4 linked regions of the Tamandua tetradactyla genome follow. The protein of the gene in region 1 interacts with the protein of each later gene in a biochemical or structural test. Links are inferred from orthologs where the notes say so. Each region holds a gene or a part of one and is shown on either strand. Other genes may lie near its edges.

Region 1 (7,828 bases):
GGGCTCTTCTGTGTTCACACATCACACTGTGCTGAGCTCCATTACAGTACTCACCACAATTTAATCTTTGGCCCCTTATGTGTCTCTTTCACTGTAAATCCTATGTTGGGTCTGTATCTTGTCTAACTTTGTATTTCTAGCACTTAATGTAGTACATCTGGCACACAGAAGGTTTTCAATAAATTCTGAATGAAAGCTTGAACCAAGACCATATATTATTTGCTTTCAGCCTCACAAACTATTAAACTCACAAATTGTTATACACACCATTTGTTATACTCACAAATTGGTTATTGTTAGTACCAATTATTCAAATGAAGATCATATATATTCATTTCTTTAACTTTATGGACAAAAAGACTTCTATATGGTGTTAAGTTGCACATTTGAAAGAATTTGAAAGGACTGTATCCTTGATGTAGAAATTCTACTTCTAGAAATCTATTCTAAATAAATAATCAGAGACAGGCTGGTTTTATTCACAAAGATGTTTATTACCAAGTATTTATTATAGTAAAAAAACTCATAAAAACAAGAGAGAAATGATTAAACATTCAGAATTATGTTATACCCATGTAATTAAACTTTATACTGCCATCAAAATTATATTTTCAAGGATTTTTTAATGATCTGGGACAATGCTTAATGATATAAGTAGTAAGAAAAGTGGATATAGAATGAGGTGGGACTCAATGTCAAGGGATTGAGAAAACCTTCTCCACCAAAAGGGGGAAGGGTGAAATGAGACAAAATAAAGTGTCAATGGCTGAGAAATTCCAAACTGAGTTGAGAGGTTACCCTGGAGGTTATTCTTATGCATTATATAGATATTACCTTTTTAGTTAAGGTGTAATGGAAAGGCTGGAGGGAACTGCCTGAAAATGTGGAGCTCTGTTCCAGTAGTCATGTTTCTTAAAGATGATTGTATAATGATATAGCTTTCACAATGTGACTGTGTGATTGTCAAAACCTTGTGCCTGATGCTCCTTTTATCTACCTTATCGACAGACGAGTAAAACATAGGGATTAAAAATAAATAAATTATAAGGGGAACAAATGTTAAAATAAATTTAGTAGATTGAAATTCTAGTGATCAATGAAAGCGAGGGTTAAGGGTATGGTATATATGAATTTTTTTCTGTTGTCTTTTTATTTCTTTTTCTGAATTGATGCAAACGTTCTAAGAAATTATCATTATGATGAATATACAACTATGTGATGATATTGTGAGTTATTGATTATATATCAAGAACGCAATGATCATGTGGTAAGAATGTTTGTATTCATATGTTATGTTTAATAAATTAATAAATTAAAAAAAGAAAACTTGTAAACATTGACAAAAACTGGATAGAAAATCAGAAAATATAGTAAGGTCTTAAATTATGCAGGGGGAGAAAACCACCTCACACGTAAACAGAAAAAAAGATTAGAAAGAAACATATCCAAATGAACTCTTCAATGATTATATCTTGGGTGATATTGCTTTGCTTTGCTATTTTATCTTTTATTGATATATTATATATTCACATGCCATGTAATCACCCAAAGTGTACAATCAATGGTTCACAATATCATCATATAGCTGTGCATTTATCATCACAATCGACTTTCTTTGATTTGTTATTTTTAATTTTTTTGGCATTTTCCAAATTTTCTACAGTAAACATTTTTACTTTTATGATCAGAAATAAAACTTTTTTCAAGTTAGAAATTTTTTTCTGTGTGAGACTGCAATAAACATCCTTTGTTCTGTTTGTTCAGCATTATTCCTCCTTTTCCCTTTTTCTTGGGGACATAATTATCCCCCTCCCCCCATTCTTAGGCCCCATGGTGTGGATGAAGTAGACCTCCAACCTCTGGCTCCAGAAGTGGGTGCATAACTCAGACCAGGCCAGTCATCATATTCCATCCTTCTGGCTTCCATCACTGGTCCCAGATGGGCACATAACTTGAGTCAGGTCCATGAGACTCAGTTTCAGCACTTTTTATAGGAGCTGTTTATGAGGCCAAAGAAGTTCTGCTTCCACTGGTAGTAATATGGGATAAGCCAAATGCCCAGCCTGAACGCATGCGAGGACAGTGAAACAAGACAGAGGAAAGTATTGCCAAAAGTTGAGGATGGAGAAACATACCCACACACCTTTTCAAGTCCTCATGACTATGAGTCCCTGGATCTAGGAAAGTCTGGAATCAGCACTTTCATCCCTGGGTTTTCCACTTATAAGAACCAATTGATTTAAGGGTTCTTTGTTTACCCCCAGTTTGCACTGGGCATCAAGCAAAGAGTCCTCACTAATATGATTATAAAAAGAACAATATATACAAAGAATAACTCATGAAGGGGTCCAAAGCTATCATAAAATACAGTATGGACACTAACCAATGAGTGTACATCCTTCCTGAGATATAAAGCATTTCAATCATGGCAAATGTTCTATTGGAGAGTGCTGATCTATAATATAATTAACATAATATAGTCATAGTCATATGTATATTATATATAATATAGTCATAGCACTTTATATATGTTTCCTCTTGGTATATAGCAGGCTGGGGATATTATCAAAAATAGTGAACAACCTTAAAGGTACAGGTACTGGAAGCGCTGCTGTGTCTGGCAGTAGACCTTTAATTGCTGGATCTAAGGAGATTTGGGGTGTCTTATGGGAAGGTTGGGGGTAGGTGGTACTTAGGAGGTGCTTAATTCAGTGGCTTTTTCCCAGTCAGTACAGAAAGATTTCAATATTCTACGAAACAATATGGCCAGATAGGTGTGTACTGGCTGAACATGTTAGCAGATATTACAGTTTCTTGTTTGGGAGGCTATTTTCCCAGCTGGATTGTGAATTCCCCCAGGGCAGGGACTTTGTCTCCTCCATTTTTGTCGGTCTTGTGCCTACCTAGATGCTCAATAAATGGATGAACATGAGTGACAGTTCACCATTGTATAATTCCTATATTCTGATTTTTTTCCTGATAGAATCTTTCCTGCCTAGAATTAAATTTATTTCATCCACTCTTCTGAAGATTTGTTATCCTCTCCAGGATCAGTTAACTGAAGAAGAAAATTGTAAATTTTTCTCTCTCAGGCATAATGTTGATATTTTAACTCATAGAAACTTTTTTTTTCTCACTACAAAATAGATTTTAGAAATAAATCAAGATTTGAGAAACTTTTGATTGCTTCTAATGGTATCTTTTATCTCTGCTATCTTAAGAAAAAAATGTGGTCTATGGGCCAGAGCAAAACAGAGACCTTTTGAGTTTCCATTCTCTCACAGCTGTCAGATTTGAACCATTTTCTAGGAGATTAGGGTGTAGGTTCCCATCAGAACGGTGAGGGCAGGGATGGAATCTATTAACTATTGCCCTCCCTGTGCCTAGCTCCTCCCTGCTTCACAGAAGACACACACTGAATGCTTGTTTAATGGATAAATACATTTAGAGAGGCAGTACATGTTGGTCATTTGATCATCCTCTAGTCGTGATAATTTTAAAGTGGTTAGTGTTAAAAGTCATTATTCTTAAACCAACTTAGATCCTTTCAGTATCAAATAGAGCTTTTGATAGTAATTGAATATCTGGGTAATTATAAATTTTGGATGATACTTTAGAGAGTCTAGGTAAATCTAAATTATTCTATCCCCTTTTCTGATGGGCCCCTCCCATTTATTTTTCACTCTTAAGCTCTCTGGAGGGGCGTTTTACTCGTTTATTAGAAGGCATGAGGAAAGCTCACCACACCTAGAGACAGTCTTATACTATGGGCTCAAATGGCAGGTCTCCTTTAATGTGTGAGATTGGGCCACTTGAGAATTAAAATAAGTATATCAGCATGAAGTACTATTGGCGAGGAAGAACGATATAACCCTAATCAGATACTGTCGCTACATTTCATTCAAGGACTGCCACCATAAACAGCTAGGAAAGCACGTTCTATGCAATGGTACCTGGTTTAAAGATTATCATTTTACTATTATTTCGCTCCTGGTACCGGGTAGAGCAGCTAAGTTAGAGGAACGCAGGGATCCTCAGCCTTCTAACTGTTGTGCTAGCAAGACAGAGAAACCGTACACGGGCAAAAAAAAAAAAAAAAAAAAAAAAAAGGCGGCCAGAGGGCTTCGCGCAGCGATTGGCGAAAAGGTGTTAAAAACCCAGGCCCCAAAACAAACTTCGGAAATGGCTCCACTTGGCTCAAAAGCCCCAGTCTCCAAGAAAGTATTGGCTGGGGTTTGTTGGACGGAGGCCACGTCGACCAATAGAAACCAACTGTTCTTACAGGTTACCTAGCAGGTGGAGAAACTAAGCATAAAGAATTACCTAAACCCTCTATCAAGCCTTTTACCGCGGTGCCAAGGCGCAACGCTAGAAGAATGCCGCTGCCCAATTTTCTAATCTCTTCTCGCGTCCCATTAACACTTCCAGGGTTAACGGCGATCAGTCCCCTCCCACGTGAGCATGCACAAGGGGCTGCGGTCAATCTTTATTGTCTGGGGAACACCTGCCAGGTGGCAAGCTGGTGCTCCAATGTGCGCACGGTGCCCGGCTTCTCAGAGCGCGCAGGCAACACCACCACCCTCGATTCGGCACTACCTTTAGCGGCCAGACCACATCACGCGGGAGGAGAGAAGGAGATGCAGAGGCCCTCGGGTCAAGACCCGGGGGCGTAGACCAGCGTACCCTCCCCTCCCCCCACCAGGGATAGCTAGTCGAAAAAGCAAGGGCCAGAGACGCTGAGAAGCGCCGAGAGCGAGGGGGGAGGGAGGGAGAGGAGGCGAGGAGGGGCGTGGCCGGCGCGCAGAGGGAGGGCGCTGGGAGGAGGGGCTGCCCCTCAGAGCTCTCGGCTCTGGGGGCTCAGCTTTGCCGCGCGGCTTACACTTGGGCGAGAGGAGGAACGTGGTACGGAGCTCCGATCCAAGCCTCCGCGATGAGAGGCGCTCGCTGCGCTTGGGATTTTTTCTGCGTGCTGTTCCTCCTGCTCTGCGTCCAGACAGGTGGGGAAGGGCGGTGGGGACTCTGGCCGCGTCCCCCACCGCAGCCAGTGTTCCCCGAGGGATTGAGGCTGCTGGGGTGTGTCTGGAGAGGTGGGCGCGGGCCCTTCTGGTCCCAGGTGTTAGAGACTCCGGGAAGATTCGAGGCGTTCCCAGGGCTCTCCTGCGCCTTGCTTCGCTCACCTGTGCGAGGAGCCTCCAGTCGCTGGTCGTGGTGGGGCGCTGAGCTGAGGGGTCTTCTGGGAATGAGGGCAGCGAGGGGACTTGGGCAAGAGCGAGGCTGAAGGCGGACGGCAGTCGAGCTGCACGCGAGTTTGGGATTTCTTTTGTGCGGAGGGTGCGCGGGTGGCAGAGGAGAGGACGGTTTGGAGGCTAGCACCCAGCGCGTTATCTCCACCGTGCGAGGCGCGGCCGCAGCTTCCTTTTGTTAAAAGTTGCGTGTGTGTGACCGGTTCATCAGAGGACCGACCTGCATGTTCTTAGCCGCGTGGAGGGCAAAGTTTGAGAGCCTTCTCTTTTCTCTGCGACTGCTCCTTTCCAACGTGTGGCGCTCTTTGTGCCCAGAGGTGGGGACGGGCCCGCTGCCGCCTCTGCTCGCGGCGCGGCCCTTAGTGACGCTTCCCGGCCCCCCACCCCCCACCCCCCGGGTTATGGTTTTCCAAAGGAAGCGTGCGGCGTGCGCTCTGGGGTCGGACCCCGACAACCTGGAGGTGGCGGCGACAGGGACAACTTGGGCAGAGCGTGTGGAAAGCAGCCGCTAGGTTGCAGACTTTTGGGTTTTGTAAATGCTGTGCGGGAGGCTCGCCCAGTTCTGTCGCGGTGCGATTTCATTCCTGCCACACGCTCCGAGAGCGACTTGGGGGCTGTGTTTGCCTCCTGCTCCGGGAGAGACGGCGACAGCGCTGTCCCAGGCCGCCGCGTGTGCCCAGGCCAGAGTTCCCGACCAGGCTAGCGAGACTCTGGAAGCCCTCGCCTCGGTGTCTGCGACCTGTGAATGCAAATCCCAGTTCACCTCGGGAATTTTGACATTCGTAACATCCCCTGTCACGTAATATTTATACTTAATGGGTGCGTGACGTGGGATGGTTGGAGATGGAATGGAACTTACCGTAGATCTTACTTGATTTTTGAAGCTGTGAGGAAATCCGGTTACATCCGCGTGGGAACTTGGTCTGAAGGTGAAGTGTAGGACTCGCAGGTTCCTGGGTCCCCTCAGGCTGATTCCCCCCTCCCCCTTCCCTTCTGGATGTCACTGGTGTGCGCGAGCGTCACCCAAATCCCTGAAGCCCTCCTCTATCTCCGGTCATTTTTTTAAACCTTTACCCTGATGATGTACGGATAAGAAAGTGAGTCTGAACTGGAATGTAAGGGCTCGAAAGGAAGCGTCGCAGTGACTTATTGTTACCCTGTGCAGACCACTGGTCAGTTTACCCATAAAGTCTCCAGACACTGCCTTTTCCCTCTTGGTCTTGTAAGGCATTGTGAGAGCTTTCCTGTGGGGGAAGAGAGGCCTTGCATTTGGACCTCTGAGAGGTGGGAGGGAATATCCAGATGCCGTGGCCGATTTGATCGCCTAGTTTAAAATGACACTTGGTTATTTTATTTTTGTGCCTTGACCTTTTAAATTTCAGTTAAGATGTATGATCAGAGTAGGACAAGAGAAAGAACTCACTGCCATTTTTTTTTTTTTTTAATTAAGTGAATCAATTGTTTCCTGCTTCCTCAGATTTTTCCTGCTGGATCCAATAGACTTTTTTGTAAAGAGAATTTTAAAGCTTTCTCTTGTGGTGGGGAATGGAGGAGGGGTCAGTGTGATGTAGCCAAAAAGCCTTGAACTGCTTGTCTGATTGGGTTTCCTCAGCCATTCTTTGCCTGCTATGTCCTTGGGCAGGTCCTTTAAATTCAAGGGATCCCAGTTTCCTCAAGAGTGCAATGAGGCATCTGCATTAAAAAGGATCCTTTTGGTTCAAAATTCTTCTCCTTTACTCTTGAGTGTAGATTTAGCACTTTTCACAACTCTTTCCCTGATGCCTTCCCGCAGCTTTGAAATTCCCTTGCTTTTTCTGGTCTCTGGGGCCACTTGGTGTGTCCCTACCCATCTGCCCCTGGTTAAAGCGGGGAGATGTGGTTTATGCTGCCTTTTCTTCAGTCCCCACCTGCTCCCCTACACATTTCTCTTTGAGGGTTAGGAGAGGTGCCAGCTACTAGGTTCTCTTCCTGTATTTACAGCTTCCAGTATTTACAGCTCCCGTGCCACGCAGGATGAACTTGGAAGGAATGGTGAATCATACCTTCCTCTTGTTCCTGCAGGTGTGAGGTCACATTCCTCCCCAGCAGCTAGACACACAGGGTATTGCAGATTATTATCCTGATGAAAATCATAACATCATGTTATAAATGGATCCCACATAATTCATTTAATCCCATTCTGGACTTTCCCACCTTAACTTCACTTTTTTCTATGACTTTATAACCATCGTATACTTAAATGCTTTTATAACAGTTTTTAATAATCTCTTATTACAGGGCCAAGTGCCAGGCCTTGTGCTAGGGGCTTTACCGGTCATTTCAGATCCTCATCAACAAGCCCCAGAAGTAATTTTTTTACTGTCCCAACCATTTTCCAGCTGGAGAAACTGGCTGAGGATAAACTATCCAAGATAATCAGTAAGGATAGCTTGAGATCGGTCCCCTATTTCCAACTGTATGACCATTTTCACATTACTCACCAAAATGTGTTTAAAGTGAGATTCACATTGATTCATTAAAAAATATATAGTCCAGGCATTGGAGGTTCTGGGAATACAGGAGTGAACAAGATGGCTAGTTTTTTT
Region 2 (7,626 bases), on another chromosome or scaffold:
AAATAATTCTATGCCAAAATTATCAGGTCTCTGAAAGAAAAATCTCTACTTTAAAATTAGTCATGTTTGGATTATTTAAATAGCATCTTCTAAAATTTAAGAGTTATTATATATACTCTTTTTTTTGGTGTATAGTTGTTGTTTCTTCTGTAAACATGGTTTCAATTATTTATAGGACATACATACATGCAAAGTAAAGATGAGAACTCAGTGCTCAAAATAATTTGGAACAGTTGTAGACTAGTTCACTATAAAGAAATGACATTGATAATAAAAGCTAAAATATAATTTGAAAAAAAACAGTGGCTAGTTCTTTTAAGCGAAAGAATTTTAAAAAAGCAAGCCTTGGCAGATCAAAATGTAAACCTTAGCATGGACTTGACATAGATGTTTTATATTTGGTAATTACTTATTGTTGTAATAACTTATGCTGTACAAATAGTCATTTCTCAGATATTTGGTTCTTTGAAAACATATAACTTGAATGGAAGTTTGACTTGATAGATGCAAAATGCTGATCTCCAGAAAGTTTTCTTTCATGTATGTTGTTTTTTTCTGAATTGAATTCATTCTTTTTAGGTTTGTCTCTTATGTCTTTACCAGTATGCCCCACCACTTTAAGGCGATGCAACAGTAATATTCAGAAAGAACTTTCTAGCAATTGTGGAGTTTCACATTTCTTATTTATACAGGCAATTTACTAATGTTTTTTATTCCAGAATTTGAAGAAATAGATGCTGTTTTATATAACATTGTTAAACTTTTTTTTCTGCAATCACCATGACTTTCAGTAGAAGAGGTTTTGGAATATATCCTCTTATTACTTCTGGGTTGCTTAACCTCTCTAAGCTTGAGGGATTCGATCTGTAAATACTACCAACCTCTGGGGTTATGAGAAGTCAATGTAGGTAAAACACTTGACATGGTGAGAGTGCTATAAAAGATAGCTGCTATTGTTATTATTTTCATCAACCTTATTATCTGTTTCGTCAATCCGGTTAATTAAGTCATTCACATGACCTAAAACACATTTCCTCAAAGCATGGATATTATGTTACATATTTGTGGCATACATCATTCCCTTAGAAAGAAGAAAAATTAGCTATTTCAAGTAATCAAAAGCCCTATGCATAACATAAATCAAAGACGACAATATAATTTGCTAAAGGATTAAATGTATTATGGTTTGCATGACATAACAAAATCTGGTAAGTCAGATTTTAATTTGCTCAGACACAAATGTGAAAAAAAAACTATATTGCTAAAAATGCAAAAAGAAGTTTTCACTTTAAAAAAGGATATTAAAACAAGGTTTTCAAAAGCATACATTTTCTAAAACCATTTTTTTTACCCCAGCTATTGTTAGCTTGCAAGACATCTAATAATAAATAAAAGTTCCTTAATAACCAAACCTGTATGTTTTATGAGCTGATGTCAACTAGCCTTAAAGATAACAGAATTCCTGATTATAGTTTCTTTTCTAAACCTTTGATGTAGGTAAACACTTCAACTTTAACTTCTTGCCTTCAAAGTTATACTCTACTGTTTTGTAACCTACTCATAAAGATTTCTAGGAAGTAGCAATCTGGTAGCAATTTTAGCGGTGCTTGCATAAACTCAATGTCAGAGTCACTGACATAACTACACATCAGGTTATTGTATTAGAAAAGTAAAGACCAAACACTTGGTAATGGCTATCAGAATTGCAAATACGGATCTTGGGAGCAAATCACAAGCCTAGAGGGCAGAGATTACAAATGGGCTTCAACATATTCTAGCTCCAGTTTTGGGGTGGTTGCCTGAATCTTGTGGAAAAAGATTTTTAGGATGAAGTTAGTGCTCCAGGAGAAAAAGCGTATGATATACAATGTCCTAAAAGCAGGCAGGAGGAGAGACTGATTTGCCATCTCTGTTCTAGGTTTGGGTCTGACATGACTCAAGGCAACTAAGAGTCTTACAATTGGGGTTCCACAGGCTTATACCTGTTTCTTGCTGTGCATCTGCTTCATCTTCCTTTTGCAAAAATCTAACACCTCCCCCACCCTCATAAGAAGATGCTACCTTCATAATACTCAAGTTTGACACAGTACTATCAGCAAGTATCAGAGACGAAGTAGTGACCTTTTACCAGTACAGGTTCTTCTTTGCAAAGGATAGAAACTGTAGCTCTACTTAATTGAACTAGAAAGAAAATTTTTTGGAGGAAGTTCACAGAATCAACAGGAAGATTGGTGGACCAGGCTCAGTCAGAAACCAAGGAAAGCAAAGCAGAGTCCAACACCTGCCATGGGGATGGTCGGCCTAGGATGCTGATACCATCAGCACTGGACCCTTGTTGCCTCCTGCTACTGGGCTTCCATACTCCAGGACATTCACCTTCTGCCACTCAACTCTTAACTCTACCACAGCCACCATGAACAGTCTCTGAGTTGAGATAAAGCCAAAAGCTGGAGACAGCAAAAGATGACCAGAATTGGAGGAAGCTCATGTAGGATTTTGCCATTTGTGACATCTACCAATTGTACAACATGACCTTACACACTTAGCGAATTTGTTCTCTTAGGCAGCCCTTGCTCAGTTGAGGAAAAGTAGTAACTATGATATGAGCCTCACTCCTTGAGGCAATGTCAGTACCACTGAGAAATTGGTAGTTTACTGTAGGGATACCTTCCTTTGGTCTGACCCTTGGAATTTTTGCTTCAAGGGATCTTTAGTGTTCCTAACTGCTTCTTGGAGCAGCTGTGGCCAGGTGGACTAGGCAAGGCTAAGAAGATACACAGAGTAGACATGAAAGTGGGTCTCTGAGTGGTTATTACAAGTCCAGAGTAAGGCATTTCCAAGAAAGGCATTTTGAAGGGCGGGGGTGGTTATTAGAGAGCAGAGACAGTGCATGTACCCTGTAAGGGCTGCTGGCTTTCTCCTGTCCTCAGAAAGAGAAAATCCTTGGCCTAGGCACAACAAAGGAAGCAGCAGCAGCACCATATTACTGACAGCAGGTAGGAAAGGTTTATCCTAATCAAAAACATTTCCGGGCAGAATAACATGTTGCAGGGTGATAGTGAATGTGCCCCAGCTAAATTCCAAACCTTTTAAACTTCCAATTAGTCAAACACTTTTAAGTACTGATAAACTAAAATAAAGGAAAATGTTTTACATTTGTAGAGAACACAGTTCATTAATTTTGTTTAAAGCTTTCTCCTAGCTTTTTCATCCAACAGTCTTTCCCAGGAATTCCAAAACTTATCCCTTATCACTCTTTAACACACACACACACACACATTACTTATGTGTTGTGTAGGAAGGAAACACGGGGGTGAGCTTTTCCATCTGTCCATTTCACCAATGAGCAGATTTTCAGATGAGTTCAACACAACTTCTACCATACCAAACTCAGGTTCTAAACTCTCTCATTAAAAAAAAAATGTTTTAAATATTCCTGGAAATAAGTGGGACATTGAGTATAGGAGTAAAGTAATCAGGAAGTTAAGTATTGGACCACGAATATTCCAAAAAAGAAAACGGAATGAGGTAATAAAAAGTTAATGAGAGTGAAGAGGAAAGGAGAACTCGGTAAGTTAATATAAACCCATCCTTGCCCCATCTTTAAAATTCCATAGAGAGTATCTTCAAAGCAACCTCACTCAGACTGCAGAATATAGTATTTTATAGGTAATCTTTTTTTTTTTTTAGCCTGAGAGTTGAGGGAAACAAAAATAATACCTTTATTTTATTTATAAGTTAAACCCAGTTCAAGGAATGTATTTTCATTGTTAAAGAAAAGTGAAATATAAATCTATATGAGAGAAAGAAAAAATAGAAGATAACCTATATCCAGAAAAGCCGACAGTGAAATGAATTTTTAGTAGCTAAATAAAAGCACTGTTCCACGTTATGTGTGCACTTTTTCGTTAATGTGAATGCTTATGCTACTCTCCTCTCGGTTCATCTTGTGAGCTGAGAAAACATTTTCTTAAGTTCCTAGAATACCATAACACTGACACGTATGTTATTTCGTGGGTGCTTGCGGAAGATGCGAATTTCGGTTAAAAAAAAAAAATCAGAGACAAAGGAAACCAACAGTCCCACATTAATAATCCTGATAACCCCACCAAAGAGGAAATACAAAGAGGAAGTTCATGTACGGAGTGACTGCAGCAGAAAGAGCCTCAATGTTCAGCCCATTCCGACCTTGACTAACTCTCCTCTTTATCCCACTTCCTTCTGGATCCTCCCCTTTCTCCAGCGACTGGCTGCAAGGCCAACAGGAAAGGTACTGGGATTCAGACGAACACGATCTCGGCCGTGACTCGATTTTCAGAAATATAAAACAGAATCACTGCCCCAGTTCCCTCGCTGAGTTGTTGCGAGGATCAAATAAGACCTTGTCCCCCAATAAGCCGAAGCCACCGTTACCAGGAGAGTCGCCCAAGGGACCCGGACTTCGGTTCCCCGCTCCTAAAAGGGGGACCGCCCTACAGTCAACAGGAAGCTCCAGGGGCAGGAGACAGGATCCCGAAGTCGGAGCAAGGCCAGCCTCGAACGTTTTTGGACGGCGACCAGGACGGTGACGAGCCTTTAGTAACGCCCCGTCCCCCGCCCCCCCCCCCCCCGGCTCCTGCGGTGGGCTGAGATTTTACTATCAGCGACAAAGGGTGCGGAAGCATAGTACTGAGAAGCAAAGAACCAGCCCCCAAAACTCTCAATCCTGTCCTCCGCCACAGAAACAAACACAATCCCAGAGCCCTCGGCACTACAGAGAGAGGGACAAACTGAAAAGAGAGCCAGAGGAGGCTGAAATCTGTGCTGCCATTTGCTCCCCCGCGGCAGCCGATCGGCGGGCCCCAGGGTCCGTAGGGGCGCCGCTCTGCGGGGTGGAGAGGCACCTCCTCCTCGCGGCCCCTCGGCCAACTCCGCCTCGGGAATCCGCCCGGACCCCGCCGCCATGTTGGGCCGGGAGCAGTGACTGGGACGCAGCGCGCGACGGGAGAAGGCCCTCTCGGACCGGCCCGCAGCGCGAGTTCCGGTGAGTCGGACGCGCGCGCAGGTAGTCGCAGCCCCGCCCGCCCCGCCGCGGACTGAGGGGCGGAGCCGCCGTGAGGGCGGGGAGAGCGCGGAGGCGGGGCGAGAGGCCGAGGGGTGGGGAGCCCGGGAATTCCCTCCTCCCGAAGTAACGAGTCCGGGTCCGGCTCTGCCGTCGTCGCCGCTGCCGGGCGCCCCCGGACGCGGAGGTGGAGGAGGAGGCAGAGGGCCCCGCGGGCCTCGCCGCTGCCCGCCGCCCGCCGCCCCCTCCCCTCCACCTGAGCTGCCGCGGCAGCGGCTCCTGCGATCGCGGCCAGGGAACAGGTAAGGACTGGGCTGTCGACCCTAAGCCAGGGAGCGCTAGGCCCCGCGCCCGCCCGCCCGTCCGCCGCTACCCTTCCCACCTCAGCCTGCTCCGAGTCGGGAAGTTGGTGAGAAACTTCCCTCCTGCGGCCCGGCTCGCGCGGCGGGCGTGTCTCCCTTTCCGCACTACCTGCTCGCCCCTGACCCGGACTCCGCCCCGTCCGGCCCCGCCCAAGTCCGACTGAAGGTCTTGGAGTGCTGGAGCCCCCTTCCCCGGGTCTTTCGTGTCATGCGGGCCACCGGCGAGGTGTGGGGGGGGAGCGAGGTGAATCTCAGCCCCCACGGCCGAGGTCGATCGGGGCTGGGGGAAGCCCCTTTCTGCCCCAGAGGCTGGGATCCGCGTTGGCTGGCGCCGGGCGGCCCCTGCGCTGGGAGCGAGGACGGGCGGTGCGGGACGAGCGGGCGAGCCTCTCACTCCTCTTGGTTTGATTGAAAACCGCAACATGTTAAAGTTTTTCTTTGTTTTGGGTTGGGGGTTGGGGGAGGAAATATGCCATTCAGCACCCAGGTTTTACAGTCTTTTGCCACTCCGCCTCGCGTTTAGTTTGGTCTTCTGTCCGCATGTGTAACAAAATTTTGTATTAAAGTTTGTTTTCTTCTGAATTATAATCACTGCCTCCAGCTTTTGCTTTATTGGACTTGGGACAGCGTCGTTTTAAGTAGATCTTCGAAATTCTAGTCTGGTGTAGGGACTGTTTTTGCTTTGTAGTGAGTGAGGCACAACATAGTTTAGTTGTGACTGATTAGTTTGTGCATAATTAATTGAAATAAGCATTAGATAACAGGGTTGATAAGTGGCAAATTATTAAAGTGAGAAAATGAAGAATTAAGTCTCTAATAGGACCTCAACTTTATGTCCGTGACATTAGACACATATGTTCTACTGTATATGTGAAAATGTACATATACAGGATTTCACATGTATATTTTGCATTTTCGTGCATTCTAATTGGGATTACACAGCAAAGGTATTTTATGATTACAAATGTATTTAAACTGTCCTGTTAAATTTCTCTAGTTAAATTGCACAGTAAGAAAAATGTTAAGAAATGTACACGTATAATTGTATGCGTTCAAGGCAAAGTGCATAGCGAATATTATCTTAAGTAGCACGATGCTTGTCCCACAGTAGACAGTAACCATTTGGAATGGGCAGGTAATGAGGAATGTCTTGTATTAGAAGAAACCAAGGACCTTTTTTGTGTCACATAGGATTTTCATTTAGTACACTATTAAAAAGTGGTATTTCACTAAGCCATTTATATGTATTTTTTTACTTCTACCTCTTTACTTTTTTATTATTTTCAGATTTGCTTCAGACCTTTTATTTTATTTTATTTTAAATACCAAAAAACACCAAACAAACACAAACATTCGTAACTTTTAATCATTCCGTTCTACATATTATATGTATTTTTTACAAATGTGCGAGACCCTTGCCATAGTTGCCATTTAAGAAAAGGAAATTGTAGTTTAACTTTTGGACATTAGTGAAATATCAATGGAGATTTTAAATGCTGGCTGACAATTTGTAGGGTCCCAAACTTGAAAAAAAATGTGGCCTTTGATCTGAATTGAACTACAAGACATTTCATGTCCATGTTTCTCAGATAGTAGATAAAAGAACTCTTAAAACATATATACTCTGCTGTAACCAACATAATGTTAGAGCAGTATGTTTGCTGACTTCATAAACCACAAAATTGACTCCTCTCTGTTTAATCAAAAGTGAAATTACAGCTTTGCTCTATCTTCCTGAGATAGGTGGAATTTGTCTTATGGCTAAAGTATAATAATATATGGTTGAAGTTTTTCTTTTTATTCAGGAAATTCTTAAGATGAAAAATTAAGTCTATGTAAATAAATCCCCCTCAAAGTATACAATGTTAAAAGAATAAATATGCTAAAATAATAACAATAATCTTCTACAACTGAAATATTAACCACCATGGTGTTAGACTCCTTTATTCAGAGTTTCAATTTGGATCATTTGGGTCAGTAAATACTTTATTATAGGGGTAATTTTTCTTTATAAATATATTTAACTCTCTAGTGAGTCTGTTCAATGTCGGTATCATTCATTAATTTCTATTACTGTTGTATTGAGAAAGAAGCTTTATATAAAAAATTTTTATAGAGCAGTACTAAGCTATGGTGTCTAGGAATGCAAACTTGAGTGGTAAAACTATTTTTTAAAAAAACTGCAATGAAGTATTTTCTATTAAATGTACTGGGGCGGGCCAC
Region 3 (7,654 bases), on another chromosome or scaffold:
TAAACACATAGGCAGATTTTCATAGTATAAAGTCGGCAGGGGGCAAGCAGAGGAAGAAAAAGGAGAGTCCAAGGATAGACGCAGAGTGACGACGGTACAGAGGGGCTGCTTTAGGATCTGTGGTCAGGGACCTCTGAGGAGTGAATGGAGTGAAGAAAGGGGGGGGGGCATTCTGGCCAGATGGAACAGTAAGTGCCAGAGCCCTGAATTGGGAACAAGAAGGAGCTGAGCTGTGCCCCAGAGGTACCCCTTGATAACATTCAGCATGCAGAGCATTCACTCCAACACAATTTCATTTCCCTTCACCCACTACTACTATGTCCATTTTACAGATGGGGACACTGAGGCTCAGAGAGCAGGAGTCTCTTGCTGGTGGTTGCACAGCAAGAAGTGACAGTGGCAGGATTGGAACCCAGGCCTAGAAAACTCTAGAACCAGCCATTGTCCAGTTGTGGGGGGTGGTGCGGGGGGGGAGGCAGCCTATGTCCCAGGCCTCCCTGTCACCTGTGGACCATGCTTTCGTCCCGAGAGGCCGAGCACAGGCCCGCAGAAACATGGTTTACAGTGTGCACACCGGCCTCCACTCACGGCAGCATGGATTCCACCTCATCTGTCAAATGGCTGTGAAGGTCTTTTCCCCGTAGGTCTCACCTCTGGAGCCACCACTCTTCCCAGTTATCCTTTGAAGGACAAAGGACTCTCCTGCCCAATTTGTTTTTATTAATTAAAATATTTTAAAAAAAATACCAAAAAACAGCAAACACAAACATTTGTAACTTTTGATCATTCCGTTCTATATATATAAGCAGTAATTCACAATATCATCACATAGTTGCATATTCATCATCATGATCACTTCTTGGAACATTTGCATCTATTCAGAAAAAGAAATAAAAAGAAAACAGAAAAAAAATTCATACATACCATACCCCTCCCCCTCACCGATCACCAGCATTTCACTCTAAATTTATTTTAATATTTGTTCCCCCTATTATTCATCTTTATTCCATATGTTTTACTCGTCTGTTGACATGTTAGATAAAAGGAGCATCAGACACAAGGTTTTTACAATCACACAGTCACATTGTAAAAGCTATATCATTATACAGTCATCTTCAAGAAACATGGCTACTGGAACACAGCGCTACATTTTCAGGCAGTTCCCTCCAGTCTCTCCACTACATCTTGACTAACAAGGTGATTTCTATTTAATGCCTAAGAATAACCTCCAGGATAACCTCTCCACTCTGAAATCTCTCAGCCATTGACACTTTGTCTCATTTCACTCTGCTCCCTTTTGGTCGAGAAGGTTTTCTCAATCCCTTGATGCTGAGTCTCAGCTCATTCTAGGATTTCTGTCCCACGTTGCCAGGAAGGTCCACACCCCTGGGAGTCATGTCCCACATAGACAGGGGGAGGGTGGTGAGTTTGCTTTTGTGTTGACTGGAGAGAGAGGCCACATCTGAGCAACAAAAGAGGTTCTCTTGGGGGTGACTCTTATGCCTAATTTTAAGTAGACTTGACCTATCCTTTGTGGGGTTAAGTTTCATATGAACAAACCCCAAGACTGGGGGCTCAGCCTATAGCTTTGATTGTCCACACTGCTTGTGAGAATATCAAGAATTCAACTTGGGGAGGCTGAATTTTCCCCCGTTCTCACCATTCCCAAAGGGGACTTTTCCTGCCCAATTTTTAATCACCATTCTTTATTGAGCATGTGTGCTAAGTGGAAGCACCCCACCCCACATACCCCCAAACCCTTAACCTGTGTTTTCTCATCACATTCTCCTCCCCCTCCACCCAGTGGGGTTAACACTGTGTTTGTTCCCATTTCACAGGTGAGAAAACTGGAGTCCCCCCGGGGCGGGGGGTGTCTACATAACCACATTCTGGAAGGATGAAGAACAGAGAATTTCCAACCTCTCCGGGTAACCCCAGAGCTTTCGTCCTTACTTATGGGGCCCCTCAGACCATGAAGCCCTGTGCTTGAGGTGGGGAGAGCCTCTCATCAGGGTGAGTGACTTAACCTTTCAGGTTCTTCCTTTGTAAAATGGGGCTAGTCACAGGAGGACCTGCCCCAGGGCTGTTGTGAGGGTAGAATGAGCCAGCATACGGAAAATGCCCAGACTTGCACAGTCCTGTGCAGTAGCTACCAGCTGAGGGTGGCTATTTAAATTTCAATTGAGTAACATTAAATGAAATTACAAATTCAGTTCCTCAGTGGCACCAGCCACGGTTTGAGTGCTCAAGAGCCACATATGGCTAGCCGTGACCTTATGAAGCAGTGCAGAGAGAGCATTTCCACTTTCATAGAAAGTTCCACTGGTCAGAGCCAAAACGGTTCATCATTTTGTTAATCCTAGATTTGTTTACTATTATAATTCTTGAATTTTTACCTTTATTCTTGCTCATGCTATTTTAGCCTATTGTTATATAATTATTACTCCTGTAGCTATTAAGTCATTTTATTAATCCTAGATCTCTTAACTATTATTATATTTATTATCATTACTTATTCACATCCAGTTATTATTTTATATTGATTATTAATCCTATAATCATTAACTACTATTATTATGAATCCTAGACCTGTTACTAGATATCATATTAATTTATTAATTTTAGTAATATCCCATTATTTAATTTTAATTACTCCTGTAATAGTTGATCATTACTGTTATTCTTAATTAGGCCTGGCCATTCTTGTTATAATATTTATTGTTATTCACCCTTTTATGATGACTCCTGAACCCATTAACTGTCTTCTGATACTCTGGGCCACGTCTCTGGCATCTGAACCTGGCCAGCAGCAGGTGCTTGCTTACTGCTTCCAGGTTTTCACCTTAGGAAGGAAGGAAGGCCAGTGGGACATGCCCCCCAAGGTGGTTTTGCTTGTCCTGGGGGGCAAGGCGGGGAGGCTGCGAATCTGTGGCAGGAATTCAAATGAACCTCACTCTTTGGGCCTTGGGGACCTGTGATGTTGGGGGAGCTGCCCTGTGGAGAAGATGAAATGAAATCGCTGCGTCTGAGCCACCATGCTCTCGAGTTGAAGGCAAGGCGGTGGGAAAGAGTATTGGTTGTAACCCTTTTCTAAGAAAAACCAACAAAAAGTGAGAAGTCTAGAAATCGGGGTGAGCCTTGAAACAAGAAACTGGACTCCGGAGGAGACGCTGGGCAAGAAACCAAGCGAGGAAGGAAACCAGTTTGGGCTTCAGAGAAATCTGGCAGCGAGCAGAGACTTGAACAGTGATTAAAAAGGAGAAGAACCACAAGGCCCCGTCTAAGTCAGCAGAGCTGCTGTCTGGCCAGCGAGAGGGAAAGTGCTTGTGGCTGGCAGATTTCAGCAACCATTTGGCAGGGGCTCTGTACCTGGGCCAGGGTGCTCTGTTGGCGCCACCTGGCAGCTGTGTGATACAGATAAGAAATTGCTGTCTCTGGGCCTCAGTCTCCCTGGGTGTCATAAAGAGATAATAACATGGGGTGATGAGTTTAGGCTTGCCTTATGTCATCTCCCAGCACCCCGCCCTAATCCTTAAATGCTGTGTGAGCATCACAGGGATACCTCCTAAGCAAGTTGCCAACTCTAGGTTTTGCAGCTTAAATCCAAAGCCCAGCAGGTCCTTCCCTTGCTCAAAATCATCTGTGGCTCCCCATTACCCTCAAGATAATTCTCAAACTCGCCACTGGGCCCTTCAAGCCCCCACAGGATGGATCCACGTTTCCAACTTCAACTCTTCCCGTCTGTCTCTCTAGGTATTACCACTACTTTCTTGACTTTCCTCAAATGCACCAATCTTATTCCTACCTCAGGACCTTTGTCCTTGCTGCTCCCCTGGTCTTACCTCAGATCTTACCGTATCTGGATCTTTCTCCTGGAGGGGGGTTTCTCTGCAAATGTTAGTTCTTCAGAGAGGACCTCCTGGCCCTCAGAGGGTGTCCAGTCTAAGACACTCTGCATCCCAGAACTGTTCTGCTGTCTTCATAATAAATGCCTTGTTTACTTATTTGTCCCTGCTGTTTCTTCACTAACATGTCAGCCACACGAGGGCAGGGATGTTTGTCTGTCGTGGTCCCTGCCATGGCCCCAGCACCCAGAACAGGTCCTTGCCCACAGAAGGCATCCAGTACACGTTTAGGGAAAGCAGGAACTCCCAGTCCTCCCCGCTGTTTCCTTCGAGGCTGACAGGAGACCAGCCCCAGGTCCCCATCCAGGTGGAGGCGGGAAGCTCCTGCCTGGAGGCCCAGGTCCAGGCCTCAACACCTGCTTTGCCCTCCAGCCGACCCCATGCTAATTGCTTTACACCCATGAACTCATTTAATCCACTGGACAACCCAGGGTAATGGAGACCCTTATTGTTTCCAGTTCGCAGATGCGGAAATTGAGGTCTTGTCGTTTGCCCAAGGTTAGTAAGAGGGGGAGGCCGTGGAGGGGGGGCGGCGGCGGAGAGCACTATCTGGGAAGCCATGAGGTGGCCCCTTCGGGCTGCGGGACGTGAGCGGCTCGTTTCCTGCTTGGGGAGGGTGAGAAAGGCAGACGTTCCCCTCCCCCCTCCCTCCCGCGTGCTGGGGAGGGCTGCCTGAGAGCCTGTCCGCACCCCAATCAGGGGGAACCCCGAATAGAAAATGAAAGCAGCGGGGAGGTGAGGCCAGTGGGAGTCCCAGAGGGCAGGGGGCTAACAGTCCTACAAGGCTTTCTAGGGAAAGTTGGCTCCCTCCCGGACGGAGGCTCCAGGTTGGTCTTCGTGGGCGCCGGTGGCGGCCGGAGCAGAGCCGGGCTGGGGGGCCGGGGCGCCGGGGCGCCGGGGCGGGTCGGCTCGGCAGGGTCGCGGGGAGTCGGGGCGGGGCGGGGTCGGGCTCCCAGCCCCGCGCAATGATGAAAGGCGCGGCTGCTATTGCACCCACAGGCCCGGCGCGCGGCGATAACGCCCTGGAGGAGGGAGTCGGCCGGGGCGCGCCCCCTCGAGGCCGAGCGTCTCCGCGGGGCCGCACCCCTAGGCCCCTTCCCTCCACCTGGCCCCGCCCCCGCAGCGCCGAGGCCCCCTGCGGCCTGCAGGAGGCTGGGTGGGTGGGGCCACGGGTTCTCCGCCCCTCCTCCCCTCGGGCTGTGCAAACCGAAGCGGGTGGGCGAGCGGTGGGCGTGGCTAGACAGGGCCCCGCCCCCTTCGGGCCACGCCTCGAGACCCCAGGACCTGGCCGGCCGGGAAGGAGCAGGGTTGGTGGGCGGGAAAGGGTTCGGCTCCGCCCTCCCAGGCCCGCCCCTCTGGCTGAGGGAGACTGCGGTTCGCGGGCGGGCTGGGCGTGGCCGGGCATGGCTCCGCCCCCTTCTCCGGCCCCGCCCCCGAGCCGGCCGCCTACCCCCGCCCGGCTGGGCTTGCACGGCGGGTTCCTCTTTACATAACGGCGCGGGGCGGCATGGGCTCGGGCCACCGCCTCCGCCCGGCCGCCCGCCTGGACTGTCGCGGCCCGCCGTGGCGACGGCGGCAGCAGCAAAGTTTCCCTGGCGGCGGCCCGGGGGCGCATCCTCCCGCAACTGTCAAGCGCTGGCGGCGGAAATGATGAGGCGCTGGCCATTTTCCGAGCCCGGGTTTCCTGCCTGAGCCCAGCTCCAGAGAGCCGCGAGCGAGGAGCCGGCGTGCGGGAGAGGACGCGCCCGGGGCGGGGGCCCGCCCGCCCCCTCGGGACTTCGGGGGGCCGGGGGCGCGCGACGCCATGGGCCGGCCGGGCCCGGACCCCCTCTCTCACAGGTAAACGCGCCCTTCCCGGCGCTCCCCTCCTTCGGGGCTGGGAGGAGGCCCGTGACCAGTTGTGCCCTGCCTCTGCGCCCCCACCACAGCCTCGGATATGCCCTGCTGCCGACTCGGACGCAGGTGTCCGGGGCTGCCCCTTCCCCAGCTCCTGCGACACCACTTAGCGGACACCCCCACCCACACACGTGTTGGGGACGGAAGGAGGCCGTGGGGAGCGGGAGCGAGGGGATGGCTGGCAGCCCCAGCGCGCTCCAGAGGTAGCCCAGCCAGGCAGGCACCACAGCACCCGGGTCACCTGGGCCCTCTGGGGGCGGGGCGGGGGGGTCACCACCTGGTCGCTTGAAAGTGAAAGTAGTCAAACCGAAGCTGTGAGAACGCACGAGTCCTCCCTGAGTGGGGCTCCTCCCCAGTCCTCAAGGCCATGTGGCAAAGAGGGCAGCGCCCCTCCCCGCAAGCCCTGCGCTGCCGGGTGCGCCGGGCCAAGAGCCCACCCGCCACTGAACTTTGGCTTTGGGCAGGGTTGGGACCAGAACCTGGTCTCCTTGGGCTGGTCCCCTCACCCTGCTGACATGGAGCTCCCGGGGAATCCCGCGCACACACACCCAGCATGGGGGCGGGGAGGGGATGTTGACCTTATAGGTCAGCTCACTGCCAGGGTATTTCAGAGGCCTCGGATGTCTGGTGCAGAAATCCCCTCCCTTCCCTCCCCCTGGTCAGGGGGGCTCTGCGGGGGAGAGGCTGCATTTGAGGAACTGGGGAGGGGGCTCTGCCTGCTTGTCCCGCTTCTTTTTTTCTCTTTAGTTTCCTCATTCTCCCGTTTCTCTTCCCCATTCCCCGGCCACGATGATGTAGGTGAGGAGGTCATTGCTTGCAGCTGGGGGACCTCCAGGGAGGCGCACGGCCAGGCCAGGCCGGGTGGGAGGAAGTGAAATCAGGCGCTGGGTGGATGGGGGCTTGGCGCAGAGTGCACGGCTAGGTGAGGTCTGCAGGGCCGAGGGGAGGGAGGCGAGAGGGGCTGAGATCTGACCCTCACACCCCCCTCACCTGGGAGATGAGCATCACCTGCCAGGCCCAGCTGGGGTGGCCATTCCGCCCTCGGGCCCCTCCCTGGGTGGCGGGCCTCCAGGGATGCAGTGAGTATCGTGTGTGGATTTCTCATCACGGACCTGGCTGCCCGAGCAGAGACCCTCATGAGGCTTCCCGGGGCCTGCCGCGTCCTGAGACCCGGCTCTAATGGGGTGAGAGCAGGCAGAGCCCTCTGGGGTGGGGGTGGGGGGATCGGGATGAGAGGCCAGGGGCTGTCGGGGAAGTTGGAAGTGTTTTTAACAGCTTTTTTCTGAGCCCCTTCCCACAACTTCTCTTGGGGAGGGGGGCGAGTAGGAAGGGAACCTTCTGAGCCAAAGGGTGAACATTCCTAGAACTTCTGTGTGTTCCCGGGGGTTACGAATGCTGCAGACTGGAAAGAGAAGTATCAGTGACCAGTGGAGGGTCTTGGAGGCTTAGGTTCGAATCTTCGCTGCCTCTTTCCAGCTGGGGCAGGTGGTACTTGTGAGCCTCCCATTTCCTATATGTAGGATGAGGGTGATGACAGGTTGGTGATAGAGATTGGATGAGCCTGTGTGCGAAAGGCACCTACTGCCTGGTACAGAGCAAAAGGGGTTCAGTTCTAGGTGGTGGTGTGACTCTCGTCATTGTTACCTTGTTGTTCCCGGTTCCGGAATGTTCCTTCATCAGCACCCTTAAGCACCTCCCACAATCCTGGGGTCCCCTGAACCTTTGGGAGGAGAGTCCAGAAGACCCAGGCAGGGTGAGATGATGAGAGAGCTGGAAGGGTTTCCTGGCTGAGAGGATGTTCTTTAACCGACCCAGCCTCAGTTTCCTCATTTGCCATGTGGGTGTGATAATAG
Region 4 (7,020 bases), on another chromosome or scaffold:
CCCTTTCTTTTCTTGTGAAAAATAACATACATACAAAAAAGGCAATAAATTTCAAAGCACAGCACCACAATTAGTTGTAGACTATACTTCAGAGTTTGACACTGGTTACAATATTACAATTTTAGGTTTTTACTTCTAGCTGCTCTAAGATACTGGAGACTAAAAGAGATATCAATTTAATGATTCAGCAATGATATTCATTTGTTAGATCCTGTCTCTTCTGTATGGATTCACCACTACCTTTGATCTTTCTATTTCTCTCTTTAGGGGTGTTTGAGCTATGGCCATTCTAACTTTTTTCTCTTTCTTAATTTTTATTGATAAAACAATGCACAAGCACATACATTCCCAACATACAACATTTCATACATAATGCACAATCAATAGCTCACAATATCATCACACAGTTGTATATTCATCACCATGATCATTCTTCAGAACATTTGCATCACTCCAACTAAAGAAATAAACTAACTTTTTCTGAAAAGATTAAATATACATCTACTACTATATAATCAACTTATTTCACACCAAAAGAAATGAAAGTCACACAAACACTTGCCAATCCAAATGTTCATCAACAAATGAATGGATATCCATGTGATGGATACTCAGTAGTAAAAAGGAATGAACTATTGAAACACACTACAACATGGATTTACTTCCAAGTAAGAACGCTGAGCATAAAAGCCAGACAAAAGTACACACTGTATAATACCAATCCATGTATATAAAATTCTAGGAAATGAAAAACAATGAATAGTGACAGAAAGCAGAACAGTGGATGGTGGCCTAGGAACACGCGAGGGATTATAAAGGAGCATGAGGATTAGTGGGTATGTTTGTTATGGAAATTATAGTGATGGCTTCACAAGTATATATATAAGTCAAATTTATCAACTTGTACATTTAAATATATGCAATTTATTGCATGTCATTTATCACTCAATAAAGCTGAATAAAAGTAATAAAATTTACGATAAAAAAATAACGTCAATTTTGTGTTGTGTTCATAATCTGACTTTTTAGGTTCTTTTCTATAATAGGTGAGTAATAAATATCAAGGCTGGAGGGGAGGAGAAATTATTCCCTTTAAAACTGTCATCGGTACCACTTGCTGAGCTGGTTATGCCCACACTTTCATGCTTCTAAACCAACAAGCTGGACAATGCAGGGTCTATTACTATCCAGGCCCTTACCCTACCCCCAATCTCAGTCTTTTGTCTCCTAAAGAAGCAGATCCTTACATGTCTGGAAGAGCAGACACAGGGAACAAAAGGCTCAATGACTATTTGACAGATTAAAGAATAGACAACTGTTTTATTTTAAAAATCCCTAAAGAATTAGAACATTTGATGCTATACACTGTTCTGCTGAAATGCAATTATATATTACCCAAAACTGCAGACACTTGCCAACAGACCTGTCCACGTCACTCAATTCTAGGAGCTTCGCATTTTCTTTTTTCTATTTCTTTTCTTTCCAGATCCATGAGTGAATAACTTGCAGGTGTGTTTTAACGAGACATTCCAATATTTTGAAAAGCCTCTCATTCAAAAACACCCAGCAACTTGAAAGTTTTTCAAACATCTAAGATGGTGACCATAATCAAGGAAAAGAATAGATAACTTCTATGTATGAGTTGAATAAAGAGAGTGGTAATACAAAATAGCATAATCACTATCTGAAAACAATAGGTAACACTCCCCCTTACCAACAGAATTAAGGTTTACAAATGATTAGCAATAGTTATAAAATAATAATAGTAGCATGCTGATTAACGGCGGATTCTGGCTTCATCATTACTAATTGTGCGACGTTGGGCAAGTTGTCTAACTTCTTCAGTTAGAATTAGAGTTAGAGTATTCTTCTAACTTACTACTCCTCTGTTAAACAGGAATAGTACTACCTTATAGGGCTGTTCAAAAATTAAACGTGTTAAGCTTAGAGTAAAAGCTAAATGTTAGTTTTTAGTAGTATACTGTTTACTTTCAAAAGCTCTCATTAACTCACTAATCCTCCTTCTAACCCTAGAATGACACAAATTTAGGTTCAAATCCTGCCATTTACTAGTATGTTACTTTGAGCCTGTTTCCACATACACAAAATGGGAATGATTAAACTACCTGACTTTTAAAGTTGTGCTAATCACTAAATAACTAGATAGAGCTGTCTTCCCTTCCATCTCCCAAAGCGAAGATCGCAGAGGAAGGAAATACTTCTAATAGCTACAGATACCGTCAATTTTTCCATTTCTGGCACTTGAGAGGCGGGGGGAAACAGGGATGCAAAGGTATATAACGGGGTCAGGGATACTGAGTGAAGCCCTCAAATGTACGCAGGACGCAGAGTGACCCAGAACCGCTCGACCATCGGGACCTGGCCCCCGGCAGCTCCTTCCTCACCCCTCCCGCGTACTGGGTCGACCAGCCTCCCCGAGTGAACGGGGTTATTTCGGAATCACCATGAGGCAATTCTCATGAGGCAATGGGTCAGGAATGCGGCGCCGAGCCGAGCCGCTGGAGTCGGTGGATCTTCGGGCAGCTCTACCTGCTCGCGTAGCGACAGGCATCCTCCAGGCTGCGGGAGCCGGAACTCAGGAAGGCAGGAAATGAATGGGTCCCCGAGGGGTGGGGGCGCGGAGCGGCCGGAGCCCCGGCCGGGTAAGAGCAAAAGGGTTGGGAGAGCCTGCTTCCCCAACACAGAGCCAGAGTCGGCAACCCGGCGGGGGCGCCCCCTCCCGGGCGGGGCGGACTAGCTGGAGCGGGGGCTAGGCTGAGGCCTGGAACGGGCCCCCCGGGGTTCCTCACCTCCGCGATGTCATGTTCCTCCCGCCCTCCGGCTCCGGGACGGACCCGCTCCTGCTCAGGCTCCACTGGACCCGGTCACATCGGGCTGGCCCGAGGGAGGCCCGCTCGGGACCGGACACGCGGGCAGAGCCAGCCGGCCGCGCGCAGACCCCCCTCCAGGCCTGGGGATCCCGGAGACAGTGCAGCCGCCCGGCCCCCCCACCCCACAGCCCGACTCGCTCCTCCTCCTCCCCCGCCCTTTGCCTGAGGCTCCGCCGTGACGTCACCTCGCGCGACGCCCACTGCCACTTCCTGCTTCCCGTCAGCCTAGGACTGAGCGGAGACAGGTAATGGTAGGTCGGTTAGTGCGAGGAGCCGTCGCAGAATAGTACCCAAAGCGCTCTCGAGCCCTCTAAACCTTGGCCGCCGGGCGTGAGCTCCGCGCTGGGTGTTGTACCAATTCCTATGGACCTGTTGCATCCTTTTGCATGGTGGCAGTTTCCATCCCTGCGCGCGAGACTGCCAAAATCATTCCTTAATTTCATTCCATAAATCGCCGCTCCACTTATTATCTGTGTAACCTTGGGAAAGTTATTTCATTTCTCTGTGCCTCAGTTTCCTCATCTGTAAAATTGAGGAAGTAATGATGTTTTCTTCTTAGGATTATTATGAGAATTAACCATGTAAAGTCCATAGTACTGAGTTTGCCCTGTATAGTAAGTGCTTTTTAAGTTAGCTCTTTTTATCTTTATGATTAAACATTTGTTGATTGTTTTTCAAATGCGAGGCGCTGTTTTAGACTATGAGGATATAACAGTGAATTAAAAAGGCAAAGAAAAAAACGAACTCGGCATGCTCGTGGGAGAAGATACAATAATGAAGATAAGTAAAATATAGACAGAAGTGGAGATAAAGTGATATGGAGAAAAGGCAAGGAAGGAGGAGGGGAGTATTATATTTTTAAACAGGGTGTTTAGGGGAAACTTAAGATGGCATCTGAATAAAGAGCTCTTGAAAGTAAAGGAGCAATCCCTGGGAATAACTGAAGGAAGGGCATTTCAAGCCCAGGGAGAAATGAGTTCAAAGGCCCTGAAGCAGGAGGCTGCCTCCTACATTTGAAGAACAATAAAGAGGTCTCTGTGGTTGGAGCAGATTGAAGGTGGGAAGAGTAACAGGAGATGTAGTAAAAGAGGGGTAGAGTTGGTATAGGGCCCTAGGCTAATTTAATAAGTTTGGGCTTTTTCATAATGAAATGTGAGCCTTTGAATTTTGAGCAGCGGAGGAACATAATCTATGTTTTGAAGTCTTACTTTGGATACTCTGAAGTCTAGGATCAAGGGAGTGAGGTCAGAGGGAACAGGTCAGAGGCTCCTATAGCTTTCCAGGCTGGAGATGATAGCGACTCAGAGGAAGAGAAGGTAGAGCCCTTACCTTATGAACCATATGACTGGCTAAGAGCCACAGAGCTAATAAAATAGCAGAGCTATGATTTCAATACATATCAATCTACTTCCAAAATTACCATTTTTCTCTGAGTGATGCCCATCTCACTCCTCTACAAAAAACTGCTTCAGCATTGATGTGCTATTTGCAAAATTATCTTTACAAAATTGTCTTATGTGCCTATTTCATTTAGATAATACCTGTTCAACAAGCCCCTGTTTCTAATCTCCCTAAATCTTGACCACCCTTATCTTTCCCCTACATAACCCAAACCACAAATAAATGGTTCTTAGGACTGCAGGTTTGCCCTTTCCAACGCATTCTCCACTTAATAGCCAGAGTAATCTAAAATGCAACTCCAGACACTCCCTGCACTGATTAAGTCAAACAATTTTTTGACATGGTACATGCAGTACAAGACCTAGCCTGGTCTGGTTCCTACCCTCTTCATTGCTCCCTCCTCTCCCAGCCCTTGCTTCACTATGCTGAATGACTTTCACTTCCCCTCAGAATGCCAATTTCCTAGCTCAGAGCCTTTAAATAATAGCATCCTGTCTCTGTAGGGTTCTTCCTGCCCCACCTCCCCATACATGCGTCAGATCTCAAAGAAGTCACTCCTTTGCAATAGGAAGCCTTACTTGATTTCCCAGTCCAGATTAGGAGATCCCAAAGACATCTATCCTGGCTTAGTTAAATATTGTAAATCTAAGAGGCAGTAATATGGGGATTACATTTTTGACCTGTGAAGCTCAGCCTGGCTGTGTGCCTGTGTGGCCATGGACAAATTACTTGATTGTTCTATGTCTCAGTTTGCTTCTCTGTAAAGAGGGAATCAAAAATCTACCTACCTCATAGGGTAGTTGTGAAGATTAAAAAGGTTAATGTGAAGTACTTGAGCAATGCTTGGCAAAGTAAGAATGTAACAAGTGCAAGTTATCATTTGTCTCTTCTCAAGTAAACTATAAGTTCCTTGAATACAGAAGCCATACCTCACTGGTCTCTCGTATATTCAGTACACTCTGCAGCTAAAGTGATCATTCTAGAATGCAAATCTAATCATGTCACTCCCTTGTTTTATGAAGGAGGCTCAAAGCCTTTAGCATTAAATTAAAATCCTTCCATTAGCAAGTACTGCCCTTTTGGATATGGCCTATGCCTACTTACTCAACTTCATTTATCCCCAACCCTTATTCTTATTTTTTCTCCTTTTCTTCTCTTTTTAATGTGATTTTATTGAGATACATTCACCATATTATCATCCAAATGTACAATCAATGCCCTCATATACTCCTGCAGTTTCCAAAGGCCTCCTACTGACTGTTATATCCCTGCCTTCCAAAATTTAATTCCTCTGCCTTTGCCTGGAATACCCTTCAAACCCTTCTCCATCTAGAAAACTAAATGTCATGCAAGGTTCGGCTCCAACTCAGGCACCCACTTCAGAAAACATTCTCTGCACACACACCCCTAGATCACTTGCTGAGAATATAATAGAGGCCCCCTTCTGCTCTTGGTGCAGCCTGTTTGTGCCTCTGTTGGTACCTAATACACTTCAGTGCCATTGTCTCTAGATTATGAGGCTCCTTTTAAATAAAAATGTATCATCCTTATATCCCCAGAGCCTAATGGTGCCTGGCAAATATAATAAAATGAATAAGAAATATTCATTTTTGAGATACTTTATTTGAATTCCTTTCTCAACTACAAAAGCAACACAATTTCCTTGCAACAAGCCAAATAAAAGTTATTTTGTCCCCCTTCCTCAATGTGTACATCTCTACTCCAACCCGCACCAGCACTGATGGTTTGATGAGTATCTTTCTATAGCTTTCTCTATACCTATACTCACAGTCATTCGCATACACAATATAAACAAGATTTTCTCCTGTTTTATTTTTTAAATACGCATATATCATTCACACATGATCTTTGTGATCTATTTTTCCACTTAATTATGTAAGGGACTCTCTCTATAGAGAGAGATTCTCTTACTGGACAATTCTGCTTGTCAGTAAAACTATGAGCTATATATATGATTTTAAACTTTCTAGTAGTCACATAAAAAGAAGCAGGTGAAATTTATTTGAATATATTTTATTTAACATAATATGCCAAAATATGCAACATGTACTCAATATAAAAAATTCTTATATATATATTTTTTTCTTACTAAGACTTTGAAATCCGGTGTGTATTTTGTACCTACATCACATCTCGATATGAACTAGCCATATTTTGGGTGTTCAATAGCCACATTTGGCTACTGCACTGGACACTGCAGTTCTAGACCTTCAAATTTAATTCATTCTTTCCCATAACTGCATAATATTCTGTAGTGTGGTTGCGCGTTATTTAGTCAACTATTTCTGTTTAAATGGACATCATATTAATTTCCAGGGGATTTTTGCCACTTGTTACGGTCTAGACCTATCTCTTTTAGGGTATGGGATTGAGCAGCTCCAAGACCAAAGAACACACCGGGCATGGAATTAGACATGAGTTTATTAGGACTTACGAACAGGAGACAGCAGTGGCAGTCTGAACAAACATGAATAGCGCTCTGCAATTAAGTAGGAATCAACAGGACCAGTTATAGGGGCCTGAGACAAATAGCATGGTACAGTTGGGTCTCGTGATTCAGGAGGTTTTGAGATTAGAATCAACATGTGTCAGAAGGATCTTTAGGCTGTAATTCTAAGATAATAGTACTACAACAGCATAGATATAGAAAAACGGTAAATTATCATCAAAGAAGTTTCTGCAGGTCTGTTTAATGTATAACTAAGAT

Evidence for each region.
Region 2: the proteins of KIT (region 1) and YES1 form a complex in vitro, tested with the Homo sapiens proteins (2 studies listed by BioGRID and IntAct, with this or other methods). The link is inferred for Tamandua tetradactyla from reciprocal best matches to the Homo sapiens genes KIT and YES1.
Region 3: the proteins of KIT (region 1) and SH2B3 form a complex in vitro, tested with the Homo sapiens proteins (2 studies listed by BioGRID and IntAct, with this or other methods). The link is inferred for Tamandua tetradactyla from reciprocal best matches to the Homo sapiens genes KIT and SH2B3.
Region 4: the proteins of KIT (region 1) and PTPN11 form a complex in vitro, tested with the Homo sapiens proteins (3 studies listed by BioGRID and IntAct, with this or other methods). The link is inferred for Tamandua tetradactyla from reciprocal best matches to the Homo sapiens genes KIT and PTPN11.

Annotation. Positions count from the first base shown.
Region 1 is NC_135345.1:54,926,601-54,934,428, forward strand, and holds the start of KIT (mast/stem cell growth factor receptor Kit), read left to right. Parts: upstream 1-4,827; 5' UTR 4,828-4,930; coding exon 4,931-4,997; intron 4,998-6,789; exon of another isoform or gene 6,790-7,362; intron 7,363-7,828. UniProt on the Homo sapiens protein: Tyrosine-protein kinase that acts as a cell-surface receptor for the cytokine KITLG/SCF and plays an essential role in the regulation of cell survival and proliferation, hematopoiesis, stem cell maintenance, gametogenesis, mast cell development, migration and function, and in melanogenesis.
Region 2 is NC_135344.1:63,793,133-63,800,758, reverse strand, and holds the start of YES1 (tyrosine-protein kinase Yes), read left to right. Parts: upstream 1-4,614; 5' UTR 4,615-5,023; intron 5,024-5,157; exon of another isoform or gene 5,158-5,343; intron 5,344-5,797; exon of another isoform or gene 5,798-7,626. UniProt on the Homo sapiens protein: Non-receptor protein tyrosine kinase that is involved in the regulation of cell growth and survival, apoptosis, cell-cell adhesion, cytoskeleton remodeling, and differentiation.
Region 3 is NC_135331.1:12,001,500-12,009,153, forward strand, and holds the start of SH2B3 (SH2B adapter protein 3), read left to right. Parts: upstream 1-4,641; 5' UTR 4,642-4,732; intron 4,733-7,654. UniProt on the Homo sapiens protein: Links T-cell receptor activation signal to phospholipase C-gamma-1, GRB2 and phosphatidylinositol 3-kinase.
Region 4 is NC_135331.1:13,176,763-13,183,782, reverse strand, and holds the start of PTPN11 (tyrosine-protein phosphatase non-receptor type 11), read right to left. Parts: upstream 3,008-7,020; 5' UTR 2,825-3,007; coding exon 2,811-2,824; intron 1-2,810. UniProt on the Homo sapiens protein: Acts downstream of various receptor and cytoplasmic protein tyrosine kinases to participate in the signal transduction from the cell surface to the nucleus. Positively regulates MAPK signal transduction pathway. Dephosphorylates GAB1, ARHGAP35 and EGFR.